Elephas maximus indicus: one gene and its partners. The protein of the gene in region 3 purifies or fractionates together with the protein of the main gene of each other region. This does not show direct contact. Links are inferred from orthologs where the notes say so. Each region holds a gene or a part of one and is shown on either strand. Other genes may lie near its edges.

Evidence for each region.
Region 1: the proteins of GNA13 (region 3) and ARHGEF11 purify together in Homo sapiens (affinity purification with western blotting; 3 studies listed by BioGRID). This does not show direct contact. The link is inferred for Elephas maximus indicus from reciprocal best matches to the Homo sapiens genes GNA13 and ARHGEF11.
Region 2: the proteins of GNA13 (region 3) and ARHGEF1 purify together in Homo sapiens (affinity purification with western blotting; 5 studies listed by BioGRID and IntAct, with this or other methods). This does not show direct contact. The link is inferred for Elephas maximus indicus from reciprocal best matches to the Homo sapiens genes GNA13 and ARHGEF1.

What each region holds. Positions count from the first base shown.
Region 1 is NC_064821.1:194,781,540-194,789,352, forward strand, and holds the start of ARHGEF11 (rho guanine nucleotide exchange factor 11), read right to left. Parts: upstream 3,187-7,813; 5' UTR 365-3,186; coding exon 309-364; intron 1-308. UniProt on the Homo sapiens protein: May play a role in the regulation of RhoA GTPase by guanine nucleotide-binding alpha-12 (GNA12) and alpha-13 (GNA13). Acts as guanine nucleotide exchange factor (GEF) for RhoA GTPase and may act as GTPase-activating protein (GAP) for GNA12 and GNA13.
Region 2 is NC_064829.1:109,035,236-109,043,147, reverse strand, and holds the start of ARHGEF1 (rho guanine nucleotide exchange factor 1), read left to right. Parts: upstream 1-4,726; 5' UTR 4,727-4,949; intron 4,950-7,912. Other genes in the region: CD79A (B-cell antigen receptor complex-associated protein alpha chain), read left to right, coding at 1,398-1,697, 1,905-2,023, 2,772-2,840, 2,965-3,078. UniProt on the Homo sapiens protein: Seems to play a role in the regulation of RhoA GTPase by guanine nucleotide-binding alpha-12 (GNA12) and alpha-13 (GNA13) subunits. Acts as a GTPase-activating protein (GAP) for GNA12 and GNA13, and as guanine nucleotide exchange factor (GEF) for RhoA GTPase.
Region 3 is NC_064837.1:58,617,211-58,625,074, forward strand, and holds the start of GNA13 (guanine nucleotide-binding protein subunit alpha-13), read left to right. Parts: upstream 1-4,571; 5' UTR 4,572-4,798; coding exon 4,799-5,081; intron 5,082-7,443; coding exon 7,444-7,670; intron 7,671-7,864. UniProt on the Homo sapiens protein: Guanine nucleotide-binding proteins (G proteins) are involved as modulators or transducers in various transmembrane signaling systems.

The DNA.
Region 1 (7,813 bases), on a different chromosome or scaffold from region 3:
TTTAATCAATTAGGGCACAGGCAAGTCCCAAATACCCCCATTAATGGAGAGGCAGCACCATCAGCAAAAAGAGGTTAATTCAAAAAGCACTTCCATTTGCCTTTGGAATTTAAAACGTGGTTTTGTTTTGCACCAGACATATTCTCAGGATGCTGGGTTTTGACTAACGATAAAATGAACATCCCCCTCCTTTCCATTTTATACTAGAGTAGAAGCTAAGGAGTTCACAGGTGGCAAGGAAAAGATACAATGCTGATATCGATAAAGCAATTATGTTACATGTAGACACAGAGTTCAAAAGCACTCACATAAGCCTGCCAACGTTATATGCAGGCAAATGGCTGCGGCTCTGCTCCCCGTCCATTCTTCTGAGCTGCCCCAAAGAGCTTCTGTAGGTCTCTAGATGCTTGTACCTCAATGTGAAATGTGTAATCACTTGCCTGTGCACGTGTCAGAAAAGGTGGAGAGAGCAAAAAGATTTAATGCGGAGATTGTGTCAGTAAGTTCTCAGCAGTTACTGTCTCTGACGAGCCAGCTGCTCTGTAGGAGGGCAGGAGAGAGGATGTGAAGGGGTATACAAACCCAAAAAAACACAATGCAGGCAAAATACAGAGAACACTGGGATTTCAGGCCAGATGGATATCTAGCCAGGAGAATACACTGTCCTTAGATGTGTTTAGATTGGCATTGCAGAGACGCACCCTTCCAATCCGGAAGCTTCTGCCCAGTATTTATTTGGGCTCAGCAAATGCTGAGCACTAAAAAGAAAGTAGAATTACATACACATGCCCCGTAATGCTCCCGGTCCACAAAAAAAAGAAACAAGACACAAACACGTTTAAAATTAAATCAGTAATCACCAAGGGTATAAATTTCATACTTATCCAAAATGCATTCAATATTAAGGCTTAACTGTGTGACTCTATGATGAGTATGGAGCTCTGCTGGCACAGTGGTTATGAGCTCGGCTGCTGTCTTAGTCATCTAGTGCTGGTGTAACAGAAATACCACGAATGGATGGCTTTAACAAAGAAAAATTTACTTTCTCCCAGTCTAGTAGGTTACAAGTCCAAATTCAGGGCATCGGCTCCATGGGAAGGTTTTCCATTTCTGTCGGCTCTGGAGGAAGGTCCTTGTCATCAATCTTCCCCTGGACCAGGAGCTTCTCCGCACAGAAACCCTGGGTCCAAAGGACTCCCTCTGCTCCCAGCACTGCTTTCTTGGTGGCATGAGGTAACCCCCCTCTCTGCTTGCTTTCCTTTCATCTCTTGTAAGATACAAGGTAGTGCAGGCCACACTTCAGGGAAGCTCCCTTTCACTGGATCAGGGATGTGACCTTAGTAAGGGTGTTACAATCTCACCCTAATCCTCTTTAACAGAAAATTACAATCACAAAATGCAGGACAGGCACACAATAATAGGAATCATGGCCTAACCAAGTTGACACATATTTTGGGGGGACACAATTCAATCCATGACAGCTGCTAACTAAAACGTCGGCAGTTCAAACCCACCAGTCACTCCATGGAAACCCTATGGGGCAGTTCTACTCTGTCCTGTAGGGTTCCCATGATTTGGAATCGACTTGACGGCAACAGGTTTGGGGTTTTTTTGGTTTGGTATAATAAGCACATTAGAGAGATCACTCTCTGGGAGTTTTCAATCCAAAAGGAAACATCCCAAATCAATGAAATCAACTGTGGCTTATCCATGATATAACAGGTACAAAGTAAAGCAGCTGACAGAAGATTAGACTAAATCCAAAAGTCTTGCTTCCCTGTTCCAGTCTTCGCACCATGTGTTCACAGGCAAGCTGCCTAACCTACGCCTCAGCTTCTTCACGAGGACCCTAATCTCACAGGCTTGTTGGGAGAAATACTCATCAAACCTGAGGTCCAGCCTTCAGCCAAAGATCAGACAGGCCTACAGAGCCAAGCCCTGGTGGTGTAGTGGGTAAGAGTTCTGGCTGCTAACCAAAAGGTCGGCAGTTCAAATCTACTAGGCACTCCTTGGAAACTCTATGGTACAGCTCTACTCTGTCCTATAGGTCTCTATGAGTTGGAATCGACACGACAGCAGGCAGTGGGTTTGGTTTAGGTTTTTATAGGGCCAATGTTAACACACATGAAGAATGGGCTTCGTAGCTCAATCATATACACAAGACTAAAGGGCACACTAGCCCAAAAGCAAACACAAGAAGGCACAGGAAAACTGGACAAATGGAAACCGGGAACCGGGATGCAGAAGGCGAGACTGTTAACACATCATGGGGATGGTGACCAATATCACAAAACAATCTGTGTACTAACTGTTTAATGAGAAATTAATTTGCTCTGTAAACTTTCACCTGAAGCACAATAAAAGGAAAAAAAAAAAAAAACTCATCAAAATGCTAGCAAACAGAATCCAGTACCATGTAAAAAGGATTACACACCCAAACCAAGTAGGATTTATCCCAGAAATACCAGGCTGATTTAACATACGAAAATCAATCAACGTAATATGCTGTATTTATAGAATAAAGAACAAAAACATGATCATCTCAATAGACACACACACACACAAACAAATCTGACAAATCCAAAATCCATAATAAAAACACTCAAAAACTGGGACTAGAAGGAAACTTCTTCAATCTGATAAAGGTCATCTGCAAAAAGCCCACAGCTAACATCATATGTACAGGTGAAAGACTGAATGTTTTCTCCCTAACAGAGGGGGAAGGGGCAGCTCTTGCCACTTTTATTCAGTATTGTACCCTAGGTTCTGGCAATGGCAATTAGCAAGAAACAAAAAGTAAAAGACATCTGAATTGGAAAGGAAGAAGTTAAATTTATTTCACGTGGCATGATCTCGTATATAAGGAAAAACCTAAAGTGTTCACAAAAAGAACTGTTAGAACCAATAAATGAGTTTAGCGATGCTGCAGGATGCAAACTCAATATTCGAAAGTCAACTGTTTTTCTATATGTTAGCAATTAACAATCTGAATGAAATTAAGAAAGCAATTCCATTTGATGGGGGAAAGGGCTGGGACAACTGGATTTTCACGTGCAGAAAAATGAAAAAGGATCCATGTCTCACATCACACACACAAAAAAATAAAAATGGATTAAGGACTTAAACGTGCAAACTAAAACCATAAAACTCTTAGAACAAGAAAAAAGGGCAACACTGTCAAGCCTAGCTTTTAAAAATGGATTATCTAATCTAATAACAAAAGCACAAACAGAAAAAGACAAAATAAATAAATGAGACTTCATGAAAATTAAAAACTTCTACTCATCAAAATACTTAACCAAAAAATGAAAAGACAAACTACTGACTAGGAGAATATCTTCAGAAACCATATATCCAACAAGAATCTATTAAGCAAAATATGTATAAAACTTGAACAACTTAACAACAAAAAGACAAATAATCCAATTATAAAATGGGCAAAGGACTTGGACGTTTCACCAAAGAGGACACTCAATTGGCCACCAACACATGGAAAGATGTTCAGTGTTATTACCCACCTGAAAGATGCAAATCAAAACTACAATGAGATACCATTTCACCCCCACTAGAACGGCTAAGGAAACCCTGGTGGCATAGTGGTTAAGAGCTATGCCTGCTAACCAAAAGGCTGGCAGTTCAAATCCACCAGGCGCACCCTGGAAACCCTATGGGGCAGTTCTACTTCTGTCCTAATAGGGTCGCTATGTGTCGAAATCGACTCAGTGGCAATGGCTTAGGATGGCTAAACAAAAAAAAAAGAAAATAACAAATGTTGGCGAGGATGTGGGGAAACTGGAACCCTTACCTGCTGCTGGTGGGAATGTAACATGGTATAGCTGTTACAGAAAACAGTGTGGCAATTCTCCCAAAAACTAAAAATAGAACTACCATATGACCCAGCGATTCTACTCCTAGGTATATACCCAAAAGACTTGAAAACAGAGACTCAAAAAGAGACTTGTATGTCAGTGTTCACTGCAGCACTATTCACAACAGCCAAAAGGTGGAAACTACCTAAATGCCCATTAACAAATGAACGCATAAACAATATGTGGTATGTATGTACAATGGAATACTACTCAGCCAGTAGGAGAAATGAAGTGTTGATACATGCTACTGTATGGATTGAGTTTGAAGACATTATACTGAGTGAAATAAGCCAATCAGAAAAGGACAAATATTGTATGACCTCACTTATATAAAAAGACAAAAAAAGGCAAATGTATAGAGACGAAAGTTTATTAGTGGTTACCAGGGATGGAAGGGAAGGGGAAATGGGGGGTTAACTGTGATAGAAAAATCCCACTGGTTAAGGGTAGAGCTGCACAGCTGATCGTTGTAATTGCTGTCAAGAAGTTGTACACCTGTAAAAACGTTGTGTGATATATATATATTTACAACAATGACCAAAAGAAGAAGAAGGAAAAAAAAAAACAGTAGCTACTGAGGCTTGTACAACCAACATTTCACGGATTTGGTTCCTTGGTTTGGAGGTTTACGGTCCTGGTTTCATGGGACATCCCAGTTAACTGGGCTAATATTTAGTGCTTAGTGCATGTTTAGTGCTTCTATTCTACCTCCTAGTTCATTGCGTAGTGCCTGAGGTCTTAAAAGCTTCCAAGCGGCCAACCAAGGCTCAACAATTGATCTCTATTCACCTGGAGGAAGAAGGAAAAGTCAGGAACAGGAGGATACGGAATGTGTGGCTAACTGCCACCATGATCTGCTGCTTCCTTTGCCTCGAGACCAGGAGAACTGCACGGTGCCCGGTTACCATTACTGAATATTTTGATCTAAGATTCCACAGAAGAATCCTGATCAAAAGGGAGAAAATACAGAACAGAAATTCAATTTTTCATGGACTCGAGACTTTCTGCAGCCATGGAGGGTGGATAAAACCCCTGAAACTATTGTACTAAGATGATCTTTAAACCTTAAAACAAAAAATGTCCCCTGAAGTCAACTTAGAACAATAAGTTTAGCTTAACTTGTAAAAAGGTCTGCCTGAGCATTATGCTCTTATAAGAGCTATCTATATGGGATCAAATTGACAACAGCAACTGGAAAGATAAGAACCACAGGGGGTAGTAAGTTCATGCTAATGAGGAGAAACAACTCGGAAAAAGAGGGAGAGAATGGTTGCACAACTCAAAGAATATAATCAATGCCATTAAATTGTACACGTAGAAACTGTTGAATTGGTGCACGTTTTGCTGTATATATTCTCAGCAACAACAACAAACTAAATAAAATTTAGGAAAAAAAAAGAAAGCAATTCCATTTACAATAGTATTAGAATAAAATAGCTAGGAAATAAGTTAACAAAGGAAGTACCAGACTTGTACAGTGAAAACTACAAAATATTGCCAAAAAAAAAGTAAAGACCTAAATAAATGAAAACATCCATGTTTATGGATTGGCAGGCTTAATATTATTAAGATGGTAATATTCCCCAAACTGATCTACAGACTCAGTGCAATCCCTATCAAAATCTTTTTTTTTTTTTTTTTTGAAAAGCTGATCCTAAAATTCATATGGAAATGCAGGTGACCCATAATAGTCAAACCATCTTGGGGAAAACAAAAACAAACAACAAAGCTGGAGGGCTCACACTTTACTGTTTTAAAATCTACTATAAAACTACAGTGGGGTACTGGCTTAAGAACAGTATATAGATCAATGGGATAAAATTGGAATCCAGAAATTTATGGTTAATTACTTTTTGACATAGATGTTAAGACAATTCAATGGAAAAAAAAGTTTTTTTCAATAACTGGTGATGGGACAACTGCCAGATGCAGAAGAATAAGGTTGGCCCCTCACAACATAAATACTCAAAATGGTTCACAGACCAAACATAACAGCTAAAACTATAAAACTCTTAGAAGACACAGGAGTAAATCTTTGTGGCCTTGAGTTAGGTAATGGTTTCCTAGACATGACACCAAAAGCACATGCAACAAAAGGGGAAAAAAAAAAGATAAACAGGACTTCAACAAAATTAAAAATGTTGGTGCTTCAAAGGACACCATCAAGAAAATAAAAAGACAACCCACAGAATGGGAGAAAATGTTTGTAAATAATGTATCTGACAAGAAATCTGTATTTAGAATATATAAAGAACTCTTAGGAATGAACAATGAAAAGACAAATAACCCAATTTAAAAAATGGGCAAAAAAATTTCACAGATAGTTTTCAAAGAAGACATACAAATGCCCAATAAGCACATGAAAAGATGTTCAATGCCATTAGTCATTAGGGAAATGCAAATCAAAAGCATAATGAGATACCACTTCACACACCGTCTAGGATGGCTAAAATTAAAGAGAGACAATGGTAAGTGCTGTGGATGTGGAGAAACTGGGACCCTCATCCACTGCTGGTGGGAGTGAAAAACGGTGTACCCCATTTGGAAAACACTGTGGCAGTTCCTCACAACTCTAAGCATAAAGTTACCATAGGATCCAGCACTTCCGCTCCTATTTATACCCAAATAAAGTAGAAAGATGTGTTCAAACACGTGTACATACATGTTGATAACAGCACTATGCACACAGCCAAACAGTGGAAACAGCTCAACTATCCATCAATAGATGAATAAATAAACAATGTAGTATATACACAATGGAATATTATTCAGTCATAAAAAGGAAGGAAGCACCAGTATATGCTATGACATGGATGAACCTTGTATGATTCCATTTTTATGAGGCATCCAGAATAGATAACTCCATACAGACAGAAAGAAGACTGGCGGTTTCCAGGGGCTATAAGGAGAGTATAGTGAGTGACTGTTAATGATTACCGGGTTTCTTTTTGGGGTGTGAAAACGTTCTGGAATTAGATAGCGGTGAGGCCCCTGGGTGGTGCAAACTGTTTGTGCTTCATTACTAACCTAAAGGTTGGCCGTTCAGACCCACCCAGCACTGCCACAGAAGAAAGGCCCGGTGCTGCATTCAGAAAGATTATGGCCAAGAAAAGGAACCCCGGCTGCGCAGCGCTTAAGTACTCAGCTACTAACTGAAAGGTCAGTGGTTTGAATCCACCAGCCACTCTGCAGAAGAAAGACGTGGCAGCCTGCTTCTGTAAAGATTACAGCCTTGGGAACCCTGTGGGGCAGTTCTACCCTGTCCTACAGGGTCGCTCTGAGTCGAAATTGACTTGACGGCAATGGGTTTACAGCCAAGAAAACCCTATGAAGCAGGTTTACTCTGTAACACATGGGGTCATTACGAGTTGGGATCGACTTGATGGCAATGGGTCTGGATTTAAGAATCCTGGGTGGTGCAAACGGTTAAGTGCTCAACTAACCAAAAGGTTGGCAGTCCGAACCCACCCAGAGGCACCACGGAAGACAGGCTTGCTGATCTGCTTCCAAAAGGTTAAAGCCACAAAAGCCCTACAGAGAGCAGTTCTACCCTGCAACACAACAGGGTCACCACGAATCAGAATCAACTCAATGGCAACTGGTCTGGTTTGGGTTTTTTTTTTTTTTTTTTTTCTATGTCGTTCATCTTTGTGATACACTAAATGGCACTGAACTGTTCGCTTTAAAATGGTTAACTTTGTTATCTGAATTCCACCTCAATAAATTATTTAAAAAACACACACAGTGAAATAGCACTTCACATCCACTAGGATGGCTTGTAATAAAAAATACAGATAATAACAAGTGTTGGCAAGAATGCGGACAATTCAGAACCCTCACACATTGCTGGTAAGAATGTAAAATGGTGTAGGTACTTTGGAAAACAGTTTGGCAGTTCCTCAAAATGTTGAACATTCAGCTACCATATGATCTAACAATTCTAC
Region 2 (7,912 bases), on a different chromosome or scaffold from region 3:
GACAGCCAAGCGGAGCTATGTTCAGATACCACAGCCAGCCTAGGTAGGCCACCCTGATTCCCTCACACCAACTCCCTGCTGCGCCACCCAGCCCCCAGGCCAGCCCCAAAACTGAACTCACCCAACCCCCAGGTTGACACAAATTACTGAGGAAGAGGAAGGGGCCCAAGGCTACAAGGGAAGGCAGGATCCAAAGACTGACCCCTCAGTCCAGGGGAGGAGGCCCAGGGAGACCACAGTTTGAACTCGGTGCCACCCCTGACTGGGGACTCTGGTAAGCTGTGTGCCCTCCCTGGGCCTCAGCCAGCCAGCCGTCCCACCTGTAAAAAGGTGATGATGGGAGAATCTGTCTCTAAGGTTTCTGTGCAGATTACAGAGAGACAGGGGCTGAGGGTGGGAAAGCGGCCACAGGAAACACCTCCAGGAGGAGGTGACGTGAAATTGGTCTTGGAAGGAGCTATGTGGGCAGGAAGGAGCCCTGGTGGCGCAGTGGTTAAAGTGCTTGGCTACTAACCAAAAGATCGGTGGTTTGAACCCACTAGCCACTCTGTGGGAGAAAGATGTGGCAGTCTCCTTCCGTAAAGATGACAGCCTTGGAAGTCCTATGGGGCAGTTCTACTCTGACATACAGGGTCGCTATGAGTTGCAATAAGCTCCATAGCAACAGGGTTATTTTGGTTTATGTGGGCAGGGTCACTTCCGGTGCTAAGGAACCAAACATCCCAAAGCCAAAGAGTTCAGTGGGGTCAAAGCATAAAGTGGGGTGTGGGGTAAGAGATGGCACTGGAGAATAGAGTAGGGCCCTCCAGGGGTGTCTCATTCTCCTCCCCCAGAACGTCCTCCCTCCCTCCTCCAGAGGTGTCCTCACTCTTCCCACCCCAGGGGCATCTTACTTCCCCCAAGGGGTGTCTTTGCTCTCCTCCCTCAGGGGTATCTTCTCTCTTCCCCCACCAGAAGTGTCTTTGTTCTTCCCCAACTAGAGATGTCTTTGTTCTTCCCCCACCAGGGGTATCTTCGCTCTCCCCTCACCAGGGGTGTCTTCACTCTCCCTCCACCAGGGGTGTCTTCTCCCCCCACCAGGGGTGTCTTTGCTCTCCCTCAACCAGGGGTGTCTTCGCTCTCCCCCTACCAGGGGTGTATTTGCTCTCCCCCAACCAGGAGTGTCTTCACTTTCCCCCCACCAGGGGTGTCTTCGCTCTACCCCAGCCAGGGGTGTCTTCACTCTCCCTCAACCAAGGGTGTATTCATTCTCCTCCCACCAGGGGTGTCCTCACTCTCCCCTCCAAGGGTGTCTCATACTCCTCCCCACTGCACCCAGGAGTGTTGCATCCTAGCAGCTCAGGCTGGGGACCTTTGTCCCCATCCCTAGTCTTTGATCCACACCCTCCTCTCCGCAGGCCCCGGGTGCCAGGCCCTGTGGGTGGCCTGGGACCCACCTTCAGTGACAGTGATCGTGGGGAATGAGGCCCACCTGCAGTGCCCCAACAATGGCAGTAACCCCAATGTCACATGGTGGCTCATCCTCTCTGGCAACTACACCAGCACATGGCCACCCGTGTTCCTGGGCTCAGGCGAGGGCCCGGACGGCAGGCTGACCATCCCACAGGTGAACAAGAGCCACGGGGGCATATACCAGTGCCGGGTGCAACAAGACAACAAAACCTGGCAATCCTGTGGCACCTACCTCCGTGTGCGCGGTGAGTGTCCCGGGTCCTGGTGCCACGGCTGGCCACTGCCCCAAGGGGGATGCTCGGTTTCTGTCTGTGAAGTAGGGACAGAGCCAGTTCTTCACCTCTGGCTGGGGCGGGCTCAGACACAGCAGGAGTTTCTCATCTGCATTGTGGGCCTTGCTGGGAGGGGCGGGCAGGAGGCACCGGGGCTCCAAGCAGCACCCCTCCTTGCAGAGCCGCTCCCTAGACCCTTCCTGGACATGGGGGAGGGCACCAAGAACCGCATCATCACAGCCGAGGGAATCATCCTGCTCTTCTGCGCCGTGGTGCCTGGGACGCTGCTGCTGTTCAGGGTGAGCTACCCCGGGACCCTAGGCCAGCTGGATGAGGGCAGGGTGGCACAGCTCAGTGCCCAACCTGCCCTCCCTGATTCTGAGGGTCCCCTCTAAAACCTGGGAGAATACCTGGGAGAATGTGAGCACCCACATCACAGGGCCTATGGGGTTAAAGGAGCTAATACAATGAGAGGACTCAGAGTGGGGCCAGGTCCAGAGGTGCTTCCTTGCTTACTCTCCCCCAGTCAGGGGTGTCTTTGGAGGGTGTCCTCACTCTCCCCCCAGGGCTGTCCTCACTCTACCCCCCAGAGCTATCCTCACTCCCCCCCTCAGTTGTCTCACTCTCCTCGAAAGTAGCCCCCAGATGCCAAGGCTGGGAAGATGGGGGCTGGGTTTCTCCTACAGTCTCTGACCTGCCTGGTCTCAACTCATACCAGCAGAGCACTGATTGCTATTATTATTATATTAGGATTCTTACTCATGGAGAATAACAACGCCAAATAACAGAGCCAAAATGAGACTCACTAGCTTTGGCTCCAGAGAGACATGCCACTCAACAGATGTGACCTTGGACATACCCCTTGCCCTTCCTGAGCCTCAGTTTCCCCTCCTGTAAAGGGAAGTGGTCAGAGCTCGCTCCCCAGGTGACTGTAGGCAGCACTCAGGGGAATCACGCTGGTAAAGCACCCCTTCCCATCCAGGAGGGTCTTAGAATCTATCAGCCTCCCTTTGCTCACTGAGGCCCCCAAACTGCACCCCCCCCCAGAAACGATGGCAGAATGAGAAGTTCAGGGTGGACATCCATGATGACTATGAGGATGAAAATCTGTACGAGGTGAGTGGAGGGTGGGGACAGGGTAAGAGCAGGTGCACTGGGGGCTGGACATGGGGCTCCTCCCTGGGGCTGGCTGCGGTAGAGACCCCAGGCACTGATGTCCACTGCTGCACGTCCACCCCAGGGCCTGAACATCGATGATTGCTCCATGTACGAGGACATCTCCCGGGGCCTCCAGGGCACCTACCAGGACGTGGGCAGCCTCCACGTCGGAGACGTCCAGCTGGAGAAGCCGTGACCCTGGCCAGCTGCCCTGCCTGCTGTATTCCCAACTCTAGGGTCTTTCCTCACTCCCCCTGGAACATTCTTCTCTCTCTCTCTTCACCTTCTTCCCTGAAAGTCATCTTCCCCTTTGGGAGTATCCTAGAGGAGTCTTCTCCCTCCTAGGTCTCCTGGAACTCTGAAACACGTAGACCCTGCCCAGGGGGCAGCTCTTCCTTCTACACTGTCTTCACTCCCTCTACACACCCTGCCTCCTTTCCCAGCTCCCTGCTCCCTCCCTGGCGGGTAATGAGCCCTTAATCGCTGCCTCAAGGGGAGCTGATAGTAGCAGCCTTATTAGTACCCCCCTCTCCACTCCCCACCCCTGCTCTGTCATGGCCACTTAGTGATAATAAATCCTTCCCAACTGCAGCATTTGGCAGGAGTCATGGATCTCATGGGGACTGAGCCATCCCCACCCCAGGGGACCAGAAGTCCAGGCCCCCAGCCCCCTCCTCCCTCAGACCTAGAGGTGCAGGCTCCCAGCCCCCTTCTCTCTCAGATTCAGAAGACCAGTCCCCAGCTCCCTCCTGGATTCTGGGTCTCAGCTCTCCACTGTCTATCCCCCACAACTGGGATCAGGTAGCCAGGCTTAGTTACTCCCGTGAAAGAAACAGGAAGTGTCTTGGGGTGCTTTCCACCCCAATGAAAAGGAGTGGTTTGGCCCCACCCAGGGCCCCACCCCAGGCCCTGTCCCTGAGCAGGAGGGGGCTGTGTTGTGCATATATGTTGGGGATGTGGGGGGCGGGGGTAAGGCTACCATATTTATGCACATTTAAGCCCTGCAAACTGGAGGACTATCTTGGGGGATAGTATTGAATTCCCTGACTTTGGCCACACCTTTTCTCTATGGGTGGACTTGTGCAAGGGTGATTTGTAGCATCTGTATTCCTAACTTGAGGCTGGTGAAGACACTCAGGGGGCAGTGACAGAAAGGTACAGTGATACAAAGTTCCTGAGATAGGTACTAAGTTCTTGAGATGCAGAGAGAGAGAGTGATGGAGACACTGAGCAAGTGAAGGAAAAGACAGTAAAGAGACACTGGAGTTTCAAGGGAGACAAAGCCACGAGGGCAGATAGAGAGGGAGAAAGAGTGACCAAGAGAGAAAGGGAGAGAGCAGGAAGAAGGGCCTAGAGGTACTGAGCCAGCAAGACTGGGGAAATGATGAGAACTGACACGAAGAGGCAGAAAGACACAGACAGACACACAGACAGTTGCAGAGATGGGAAGAGAAGGATTCTGAGGGAGAAAATGACAGAGGAGGAGGAGACACAGGGAGAAGCAGAGGCTAGGGAAAGACCCTAACCAAGAAAGGGGGTGAGAGAGGGACTAGAGACAGAGAAGAAAAGGCAACAGCGAGAGAGACACACAGAGGCAAAGCAAGAGAGGGAGACCAAGCGACACCGGGCGGAGAAGCCGAACCACGGTGAGGAAACCAGGCGAGGGTGTTGCTCCGATTGCGGTGGCGGACAGTGACACTCACCCCCCGCCCGGCCCTCCCCGCCAGGGCTGTGCGGGCGGACACTCGGACAGAGAGATATGAGCAGCGTGGAGCCCGCGCCCTGCGGACCGACAGACGGACAAAGCCGGGCAGAGCTCGGGCGGGGCCAGGGTGGGGCCGGGACTTGCGGAGACCCAAGCGGCGAGAAGGGGAAGGAAGCGGAGGTGCCGGGAGGGCGCGGGGCGCGGGCAGGAAGCGGGGAGGGGCGGCGGGGCGGGGGCCTCCGGAAAAACGCCCCAACTTCCTGCCCCGCCGGAGCCAGGAAGCGGGAGCCGGGACGCAGGGCCGGGGATCGCCGAGCCCGACCCCGGGCGCCCCGCCGGTCACCTCCCCGCGCGGACACCAGGTACACCGTCCCCGGCCCCGCCCGCCCCCCTCCCCTCCGCTGCTGGGGGAAGTAGGGACGGAGGTGGAGGGGCTGGGGCGCTGCAGGCCGTGGAGCGGCCTCTCCAGGGCTCCACTGCGCCGGCGGCTGCCCCTCCCTGGGCCTCAGTCTTCCCATCTGTCAAAGGGGCAACGAGAGGGAAACTAATACAAGCCGAGCGCTCAGTGGATGGGGATAAAGGGTTCGCGGCCGGGGTCAATGCCTCTCGATTGCTCAGCGGGGGACGGATAATCACCCTGTTGCACGGGTGGGGAAACTGAGGCCCAGGGAGCCGAACCGACTCGCTCGAGGGCGCACACATCCCGAAACTGTTGAGTTGATATTTGAACTCTCAGGTGCTTTCCGCTAAGCGCCTTGCTCCAACCCCGCGTGCTCTGGGCCGTCTAAAAAGAAAAACAATAACAAGGCTATAGGCCGCTGATGAAACTGATAGTTGCCAATGGAGTGTGTTTGAAAGCGTTTAGAAAGAAAAAAAAAAATTTTAAAGCGTTTGGAGGTCATTAATTATGTCCTAGGAGATGGGTGTAGAGGAGAGAGCTGAAGACCTTCCCCCATTGTACAGATGGGATGACTGAGACTTCTTCCAGGATACACTGCATGTCCGAAACAAAACTGGGCTCGAACCCAGGATTTTTGCTTTCCAGCCCCAAAGGAAAGTGCTGGGGGATGTACACGCGTTGAGAATTCAGCTCGTCACAAGTAGGGAGACAGGATAGGGAGGAAGCCCCAGTCCGAGATCCAGGGACCCAGGGCCCAGGCGACTCGGATACCTCGCCTTTGGCTCTGCTGTGCGGGCTGGAACCATCCCCACCTCCGGGCGGGGGTTGAGGGGCGGGGCCCGGGAGAGTGACGCGGGCAGTCGAGATACGGAAACCCCAGCCCTCCAAGGCTGGCCAGAGCGGCCCTGTCTGGCCAGCGTGGCGCGGTGGAGAGCTAGAGCGGGCGGCGGGAGGAGTGGAGTCGCTGAGGCATGAGCCAGGCAGGAGCCGGGCTAGAGCGCCTGCCGGGAGGAGTAGAGCTGAGCGCAAAGGCGGACTCTGAGGTGGCTAGAGCGGCTCGGCGGTGAGGGTGGGGGGAGTCCGGAGCGGGCGTGCGGAGGCTTCGGTTCCAGCGGCAGCTGCGGCTTCTCGGACCTGGAGCAGGTGAGGAACCCCGCCCCGGGGGGGTCAGAGTCTGACTCCCAACGTACGCCCCGGCATGGCCCGGCCCCGTACACCGCTGAGTCCTTTGTAGGATTTGGGGCTTGTATAGATAGAACCGCCACGTCCTCTGCAAGATTTGGGGTTCCTGTAGACCTGCCACGTTCCAGATAGATTGCAAGGTTTTGCATACCCTCCAGGTTCCTATTAGGCCCCCGTAGAGACCCGGTTTCTTATAGACGTGAGGCCCACTTAGATCAAGAGCGTCCTCTAGAATCCAGAGCGCCATAGACCTGAGTCTCTGGACCCACCACACGCACGTATAGAATTCTGCGGCCCTTTTAAGTCTTCAGAGGCCCCATAGACTGGCTACTTCCCCTATTGAATCCTGACCCCGTATGAACCCCGAATTCCTGTAGATCCACCATGTGTCAAATAGAATCGGGGGCCTTATGCATATTTAAGGGCCTGTTATAGACTCACCTTGATCCTTCTGTATTTTAGGATCTTGAAGGCACCCAGGGGTCCTTGGAGACCCTGGGTCATCCGCTCAATATCCTGTAGACACTGGACCCTGCAGAGAACCCAGGCCCCTATGTGGTCCCCGATCTGTGCCTACTTTGCTCTAAGACCCCCGCACCTATGGACCTTTTAAACCTGCCCTGCCCCTACCCTACCTCCTCTGCTGTGCTCCATGCCTTGTCCATTGCCTACAGACCAGTGCTTCTCAACCTCCCCACTGTTGACGATTTGGACCGGATAGTTTTTTGTTGAGGGGGACAGGACTATCTTGTATATTTAAAGATGTTTAGCATAATCCCTGGCATCTACCTGCTAAATGTCATTAGCACACCTCCTTTTGAGACAACCAAAAATGTCACCAAACCAAACAAAAATAACCCAAACCATTGCCGTCGAGTCGATTCTGACTCATAACAACCGTATAGGACAGAGTAGAACTGCCCCATAGGGTTTCAAGGAGCAGCTGGTGGATTGGAACTGCCAACCTTTTGGTTAGGTTGGCCACCTTCCCAAGGCCTTAAGCTTTGGACCAAGGGAAACTGCATGGAGACATATTTCAGCTGAGAATGGAAACTGCAGCTTTTAACCAATTATTTTAGACACTTTTGTTTTGAGGAGTTCCACAGATTGTTTCTATACAAATGTAAATCTAAAAAAAAAATTGTTCAACTATTTTATTAGATTATATTAAAGTATTTGTTGTGTGTCGTAAAAAACAAAACAGAAAACCCTGCAGACTTAATATAAATGAAAAACTAAAACGCCCCCCCCCAAAAAAAAAATCGTAGTGGCTCTTAACCACTGTGCCACCAGGGCTCCAGATCCCCTTGGGGGCAAAATCACCTCCAGTTGAGAACCACTAATTTAGACTCAGAACCAAAAATCAGTTGCCATCGAGTCAGTCCCTACTCACAGCGACCCCGTGTGTTGCAGAGTAGAACTGCTTCATAGGGTTTTCAACGCTGTGACCTTTCAGAAGCAGATTGCCAGGCCTTTCTTCTGTACACTTCTGGGTGGGTTCGAATCACCAGCCTTTCAGTTAACTGCTCACTTAACTGTTTGTGCCACCCAGGGATTCCCTGATGTAGACCTATTGAATATCAGGTAGAATCTGGGGTCTTATACATTCTATGATCTCCCATAGGCTCACTGTGAGCCCTTTGTATTTTAGGTTCCGTAAGGCTCCCAGAGGTCCTTGGAGACCCTGGACCATCTGTTCACTATCCTGTAGACCCTTGGCCCTGCAGAGAACCTAGATGTCCA
Region 3 (7,864 bases):
AAATAATTTAAATTGTTACTCTTGTTTTAAAAATAAACATAATGGCACTTTCATTCATTGAGTAATGCACACAGTGGGCATTTCAATGTTAAATGATGTTAGTGATTTTTTTTTTAATGGAAAATGTACTCCCTAACTCATTTTTCTCTACGTGGCAAAAGTCACATAACATAAAATTCACCATTTTAACCATTTTTAAAGTGTACAATTCAGTGGTATTTAGTATATTTATAATGTCGTGCAACCATCATCTCTATCTAGATCCAGAACACTTTCACACCTCAAAAGGAAAACCTGTACCTATTAAGTAAGGACCCCTGGTGGTGCAGTGGTTAAACATTCAGCTGCTAACTGAGAGGCCGTCAATTCGAACCCACCAGCTGATCTGTGGGAGAACGATGTGGCAGTCTGCTTCCATAAACACTACAGCCTTGGAAAGTGTACGGGGTAGTTCTACTCTGTTCTATAGGGTCACTAAGTCAGAATCAACTCAAGGACGGCTATAAACCTGCTGCTGTTGAGTCGATTCTGACTCATAGTGACCCTACAGGACGGAGTAGAATTGCCCCATAGGGTTTCCAAGGAGCGCCTGGTGGATTCAAACTGCTGACCTTCTGGTTAGCAGCTGTAGCTCTTTTTTTTTTTTTTTTTTTTTTTTTTGTGCTTTAAGTGAAAGTTTACAAATCAAGTCAGTCTCTCACACAAAAACTTATATACACCTTGCTACATACTCCCAATTGCTCTCCTCCTAATGAGACAGCCCGCTCCCTCCCTCTACTCTCTCTTTTTGTGTCCTTTCGTCAGCTTCTAACCTCCTCTACCCTCTCATCTCCCCTTCAGGCAGGAGATGCCAACATAGTCTCAAGTGTCCACCTGATCCAAGAAGCTCACTCCTCACCAGCATCCCTCTCCAACCCATTGCACAGTCCAATCCATGTCTGAAGAGTTGGCTTTGGGAATGATTCCTGCCCTGGGCCAACAGAAGGTCTGGGGGCCATGACCACTGGGGTCCTTCTAGTCTCAGTCAGACCATTAAGTCTGGTCTTTTTATGAGAATTTGGGGTCTGCATCCCACTGCTCTCATGCTCCCTCAGGGGTTCTCTGTTGTGTTCCCTGTCAGGGCAGTCATCAGTTGTAGCCAGGCACCATCTAGCTCTTCTGGTCTCAGGCTGATGTAGCGTCTGGTTTACGTGACCTTTTCTGTCTCTTGGGCTCATAATTACCTTGTGTTCTTGGTGTTCTTCGTTCTCCTTTGATCCAGGTGGGTTGAGACCGATTGATGCATCTTAGATGGCCGCTTGTTAGCGTTTAAGACCCCAGACGCCTCTCTCCAAGGTGGGATGCAGAATGTTTTCTTAATAGATTTTATTATGCCAATTGACTTAGATGTCCCCTGAAACCATGGTCCCCAAACCCCCACCCCTGCTACGCTGGCCTTCAAAGCATTCAGTTTATTCCGGAAACTTCTTTGCTTTTGGTTTAGTCCAGTTGTGCTGACCTCCCTTGTATTGTGTGTTGCCTTTCCCGTCACCTAAAGTAGTTCTTATCTACTATCTAATTAGTGAATACCCCCTCCCGCCCTCCCTCCCTCCCCCTTCTCGTAACCATCGAAGAATATTTTCTTCTCTGTTTAAACTATTTCTTGAGTTCTTATAATAGTGGTCTTATACAGTATTTGTCCTTTTGCAACTAATTTCACTCAGCATAATGCCTTCCAGGTTCCTTCGTGTTATGAAATGTTTCACAAATTCATCACTGTTCTTTATCGATGCGTAGTATTCCATTGTGTGAATATACCATAATTTATTTATCCAGTCATCCATTGATGGGCACCTTGGTTGCTTCCATTTTTTGCTATTGTAAATAGTGCTGCAATGAACATGGGTGTGCATATATCCGTTTGTGTAAAAGCTCTTATTTCTCTAGGATATATTCCAAGGAGTGAGATTGTTGGATCATATAGTAGTTCTATTTCTAGATTTTTAAGGAAGCACCAAATCGATTTCCAAAGTGGTTGTACCATTTTACATTCACACCAGCAGGCAGCCATAGCTCTTAACCACCACACCACCAGGGTTTCCAAGGAAGGCAATGGGTGTACCTCTTAAGCAGTCACTTCCCATCTCCCCTCCTCCCCTCTCCACCCCCTGGCAACCACTAGCCCCCCTTCATTCTCTGTGGATTTTCCTATTCTGGATGTTTCATGTAAGTGGGATCATTCAATATGTGGCCCGTTGTGCCTGGTTTCTTTCACTTAGCATAAGTCTTCAAGGTTCATCTATATTGTAGCATGTGTCAGTACTTCATCCCTTTTTATAGCCAAATAATATTCCATCATACGTCCCTGGGTGACGAAACAGTTAAACAATTAACTACTTGCGAGACCAAAGGTTGGCGGCTGGAACCCACCCAGAGGTGCCTTGGAAGACAGACTTGACAATCTGCTTTTTGAAAGGTCACAACCTTGAAAACTCAATAGAGTGGTGTTCTCCTCTGCATACATGGGGTCACTAGGAGTCAGAGTTGAATTGATGGCAACTAACAACAACAACAACATGTATATTACCACATTTTGTTTATTAGTTCATGAGAATTTGATCGTTTCCAGCTTTTGGTAATAGTGCTGCTACATACATTCATGTACAAGTTTTTGTTTGAATGCCTGCTTTCAATCCTTTGGGGTATACCTATAGGTAGAATTGCTAGATCATATGGTAATCTTGTGTTTAACTTTTTAAGGTACCAATAAACCCCTAGTTCATTTTTATTTTCACAATTACAAGGAGTCTTGATCACTGGACAGTTAGAGGCTGTTGGACAGCTGCAGCTGAGCCTCAGGCTGGGCTCAAAAAGGTCTTTTTTCCAGAACCACTGCTTAGTGCAACCCGGCTCCATTAGAGCCAGGCTTGTTCCAAGGCAAGGCTACAGGTAGGGCTTTGAACAGCTTTCTCTGCTGCTCTGCATGTTGGAACATGAACTGGCTGGGCAGGAATACCCTCCTGCCTTCTAGGCATCCTTGGTTCTCCATTATATAGCACATACTTTTGGAAGGAAAAAAAAAAGATGCCAGCTACCTAACATAGACTTCCCTCCTCCTGTCTTTGCAGCAGAGCTCAGATTAGCACCTGGAGTCCCCATACGATCCATGCTTGGGACAGATGCTATACCCTGCACTGGGCAGAAATTAATCTTTCATGGACTTGCTGAGACTAGAAAGTGATCCTTCACTCAGGGTACAGTTTTACCATTCATGTCGCCTGACAGCACTACCCAGTATTCCGACCCTATCAACCCACAGATACAGGAGTGAGCCCATCCTACTTTGTATATTGTAGATTGTCCACCCCTGGGCTTGGCTGGGCAAAGGAGACAACCCTACTACAGGCATTGTTCACTGCAAACTTTCTGAGTCATGAGGCTGTTCAGTCATTAATCCAACCCGTAACAGTCACTGATTAGCAGTGATTTTTAAATTTGACTGCTTAGGAGCTTCTCCAAGTCCTGACCCCTTGCCCCAATTCCCTGACACACAGGAAGTTTCCACACTACAGGAGCCCACACCAAGGAGCATTAGGTTGCACTGCCCCCAAACAGGCAGATTAAACCGGCTTTTTCCACTTGAAACTGAACACTAAGAATGAAAACGTCGGTTGGGTCCTTGCTACCCGAGTCTCCCTGCCAACCCCGTTGTCACTTGTCAGGCTTGTCTTCCGGGCAGCCCTTTCAGGTGTCCTGCTCTGAATCTGCTGGTAGGGCAGAAAAGTCCCTTGGCTGGTCATATCCTCTGTAATCCCGCGGGAAACCTAAAATGTGCCTGCTCTCGTCCTCGGTGAGTTTGCTTTTCGCTTCCTTGTAGGGAAGAGCCTGCATCACAGTGTCCGGTTTGGGGGATTTTCACCATGACCTCACCCTCTGCCGCTACCATCCCGATTGTAGCGCTGCACAGCATTACGCAGCTCGGGCAGGGATCCACGTTAGGGAGCTGTTAACAGACCCTCCTAGCACATCTCAGATTAATATCAACTCCAGTTCTTTCTCCCCAAAGGGGGATACTTGCAGGGGTCTGAGAATGCCACCAAGAGCTGGAAGGAAGGACGGACGATCTTGACTTAGCATCAAGGGTGCCACCGTAAGAAAATGCACCAAAAACCTTTCAGACTGGCGCCCGTTGTTTGAATCACTTTTGACCCAATGGCTTCGAAATAAGGCGAGGGAACGCTGACAGCAGGCGGCGGCCATGAAACTCGGGAGAAAGGGCGGCCTTTCTCGGGAGAGAGGGAGCCCAAAGGGCAGCGTCTGGGACTCGGCAGCCGGCTCCACGGAGCAGGCCTTAATTAAAAAGAAACAGAAAGTCGCGCTCCGCAGGCGTCCGCCGCGCCCACTGCGTCCCGCCAGGCCCGAGACCACGTGACCGCGGCTCCCGGCCTCCTGGCGCGGGCCCGGCGGCGGCCGCGGACACACCAGCCAGCGAGCGACCGCGTGATTCGCCGGCCCGGGCCCGCCACGAGACTGGGGCTGCGGAGGCCGTGCGCGCGCGCCCCCGGGAGGCGGCAGGCGCGCGCACGCTGCCGGGGCCACCGCCCCTCCCGGGCCCGCCTCCTTCCCTCCCTCCCCGGCTCTCCCGGCCCGCCCTGGCCGGCTCGCCCTGCGAGTCAGTTCGCTCGTTCCCTCCCTCCCCGGGCGCGCTCGGGCCGCCGCAGCGCTCCCCGCCCTTGAGCCGCGGAGCCCGAGCCGCCCGCCGCCCGCGGAGGAGGTGGAGGGAGCCGGAGGGGCCCGCCGAGGCGGCGGCGGCGGCAAGATGGCGGACTTCCTGCCGTCGCGGTCCGTGCTGTCCGTGTGCTTCCCCGGCTGCGTGCTGACGAGCGGCGAGGCCGAGCAGCAGCGCAAGTCCAAGGAGATCGACAAATGCCTGTCCCGGGAGAAGACCTACGTGAAGCGGCTGGTGAAGATCCTGCTGCTGGGCGCGGGCGAGAGCGGCAAGTCCACCTTCCTGAAGCAGATGCGGATCATCCACGGGCAGGACTTCGACCAGCGCGCGCGCGAGGAGTTCCGCCCCACCATCTACAGCAACGTGATCAAAGGTGCTGGGCTCGGCCGGGGGCGAAGGAAGGGCCGGCTCGGCAGGGGCCGGGGGCCCGAGGCCGGGCACCGCCCTCGCGCACTCCGTGCCTCGCGCACGAGCTGGGCGGGCGGCAAGGGGGCGCGCCCCGGGCCCTGGCCCTGCCAGTCCCCGGGCGCCCTCTCCGTCGGCTCAGGGAATGCTCGGTGGGCGCCCAGCTTTCTCCTTGCTGCCCCCTTGGGGGTCACGGCCAGCCCCCACCCCCACCCCATTTCCAGCTCTGGCTCCTCCGAGAGGGAAGTTAGGAGAGCCGGGTGCCTCGGGGTGCGGGTCACCTGGCCTGTGTTCCTCCTTCCAGACGAGGCTGGAAAACCCGAGAGCCGACCCCAGACCCTGCCCCTTTCTCCCCTGCCCCAGAGCTGTCGGCCGAACCTCGCTGCCCCGGGTGGGTGACCCGAGTTGCATGGTTTCCTTGACCGCCTCCTGAGCAAGGGAGTTCTGGAACCGTCGGCAATGAGGAAACTTTTGCCAGAGACTTGTCAAGGGCGAAGGGTGACAGCTTTTGGGACTCTTTTGGGAAAGGATGTGAAACTTGAGGGTGTCGTTTTCACTTTGCTGGCACCAGGAAAGAGGAGACCCATACAGTAACTCTGAAAAATTAGCATCAGTGGTTTTTCACCTCATTGTCACGGTCAGGCAGGATGTTTGCCTGTAGTCTGTGTGCAATATGTTCTGCTCTCCTTTTTGCTAAATAAGGGGTAGGGGATATGGGGGTGTACTGCTTCAGTGCAATTGTGTAATAATATGAAGAATTTTTGGTCTAAAGGTGATGTGAGTCCCGCACAGGTTGAGTCAGTGAGTTAGCATGGGATGGGGTTGGATCATAGACTCCGCTTCTGTTTGACAGTATTTTTTTTTTAATTAATTAAAATGGTAAACGTTGTTCTTAAGTGAGAAGTACACAGGATTTTTATTTCTGAACTTTCAAAGAATTAGAGACGATGGTTTTTATTTTGTGATTGGAATGATAATTAGCATTCCTTTCTGTTAGTTTCCAATATTTTTAGCTTAAAATACTTCAGATGCATCAGGATTCTCTATTTTGTCTGGGTAGCAATTATCTGGTAGTTTGCTACCGATTTCATATCTTGTCAAGCAGTGTTTTTTTCCGTGGGATTTTTGTTCAGGAAGTGCTTAAGAAAGTCTTTCATGTCACTTTTTTTTTTTTTTCCTTTCTCTCCCAGGGTTTGGTAGAGGAAAACTGCTCCAGAGAGGGAGGCAGTGTGGGTTAGGAGCCAGAGAAAAAGCTCAGCCTGGGGTTTACAGACCACAGTGAGCCCTTAGCCCTGGTACCCCTCCAGTTAAGCTGTGAAAAGCAGTTGTATTTACTCTGCCTTAATGGTCAGCAGGAAACCTAATTAAGGTCTCTTTCAAGGCCACTGCCTCTGCCTTGCCAGCCCTTAATTGAAGGTACCTTTGTATCTTGCTGCAGCCGAATTTAAGGAATTATGTTAATGAATAGATTCAACATTTTAACTGATTATGGGCCAGGTAAACAACTGGTTCTTAATGTACACTGCGTCGGAAATGAGACCCGTTTTGAGTATTGATAATGAGATGAGGTCATTAGACATTAGTTTTTTTGTAGGTGTTGGCTTGTTGCAAAAATTGACAGCGGAATAGTTTTTTCAGTTATCCAAATGACCTAAAGGTGTGCGATTGTTAAGACCCTAACAGTTTAGTAATAGAAATACTGGATTTGAACTAACCTCTGAGTTGAAATGCCTGGTTTTGTATCTTTTTGCTGTTGGTCTTCCTACCTTTTAGGGAAATCTAAGGCCATCCTGTAACTTAGATTGATTCGAAGCTTGGTCTAGGAGAAGTTTTTGAGTTTTTAAGGTGTTCCTAGAAGACTCAGGGTTGGGGTTAGGCAGGGTGCCTAGGGGACAAGCAATGCAGAATGGTAACGCCTAGTTCTTGGCATTTGGTAGATGAATGCCTTTTGGACGGACTCCTTTCCTTCAGAGCCTGGACATCAGGCTGTGCAGCATAGTTTCTTTTTCCTTCAGTGGTTTTGGCTGTCTTGTGACCACTTTTTACCCCGGAAGTTATTTTATAAATTAGTACATTTTAAAATCCTTCAGAAGGAGCAAGTGTGTTATCAGTATTTGCTCTCCAAGGTTCTCATTTTAGGAGTGTGAGCAAGAGTTTTTAAAATCTGAGAAGTTAAGGGTGGATGTTTAATGTTGGTCTTCATTTTTGGAGGAGGTGGGCCTGGAGTAGTTAAGAGGTCTAAGAAAGAAATTCTGGTGTTTTCTAAGGAGTAAAACATATAAGAATGTTTAATGACTCCTCCCCATACTTTTTTTTTTTTTTAAACAAAGGCATGAGGGTGCTGGTAGATGCTCGAGAGAAGCTTCACATTCCTTGGGGAGATAATACAAACCAATTCAATGGAGAGAAGATGATGGCATTTGACACACGGTCACCCATGGCGGCCCAGGGAATGGTGGAAACCAGGGTGTTCCTACAGTATCTTCCTGCTATAAGAGCCTTATGGGCAGATAGTGGCATACAGCATGCCTATGACCGGCGTCGAGAATTTCAACTGGTAAGAGATTGGCTTTTTTAAAATATTGTGACTTTATTTTAATGATATTTAACAATTCTTGATGTCAGCACCCTTTATTCAGTGACGTCCACAATACAACAATGTACCCAGAATCATGGCCTAAGAAATCTTGAATTGTTATCTGTCTTAGCTATCTATAAGTATATTACCAAACAAGATAAAAATAAGGTAAA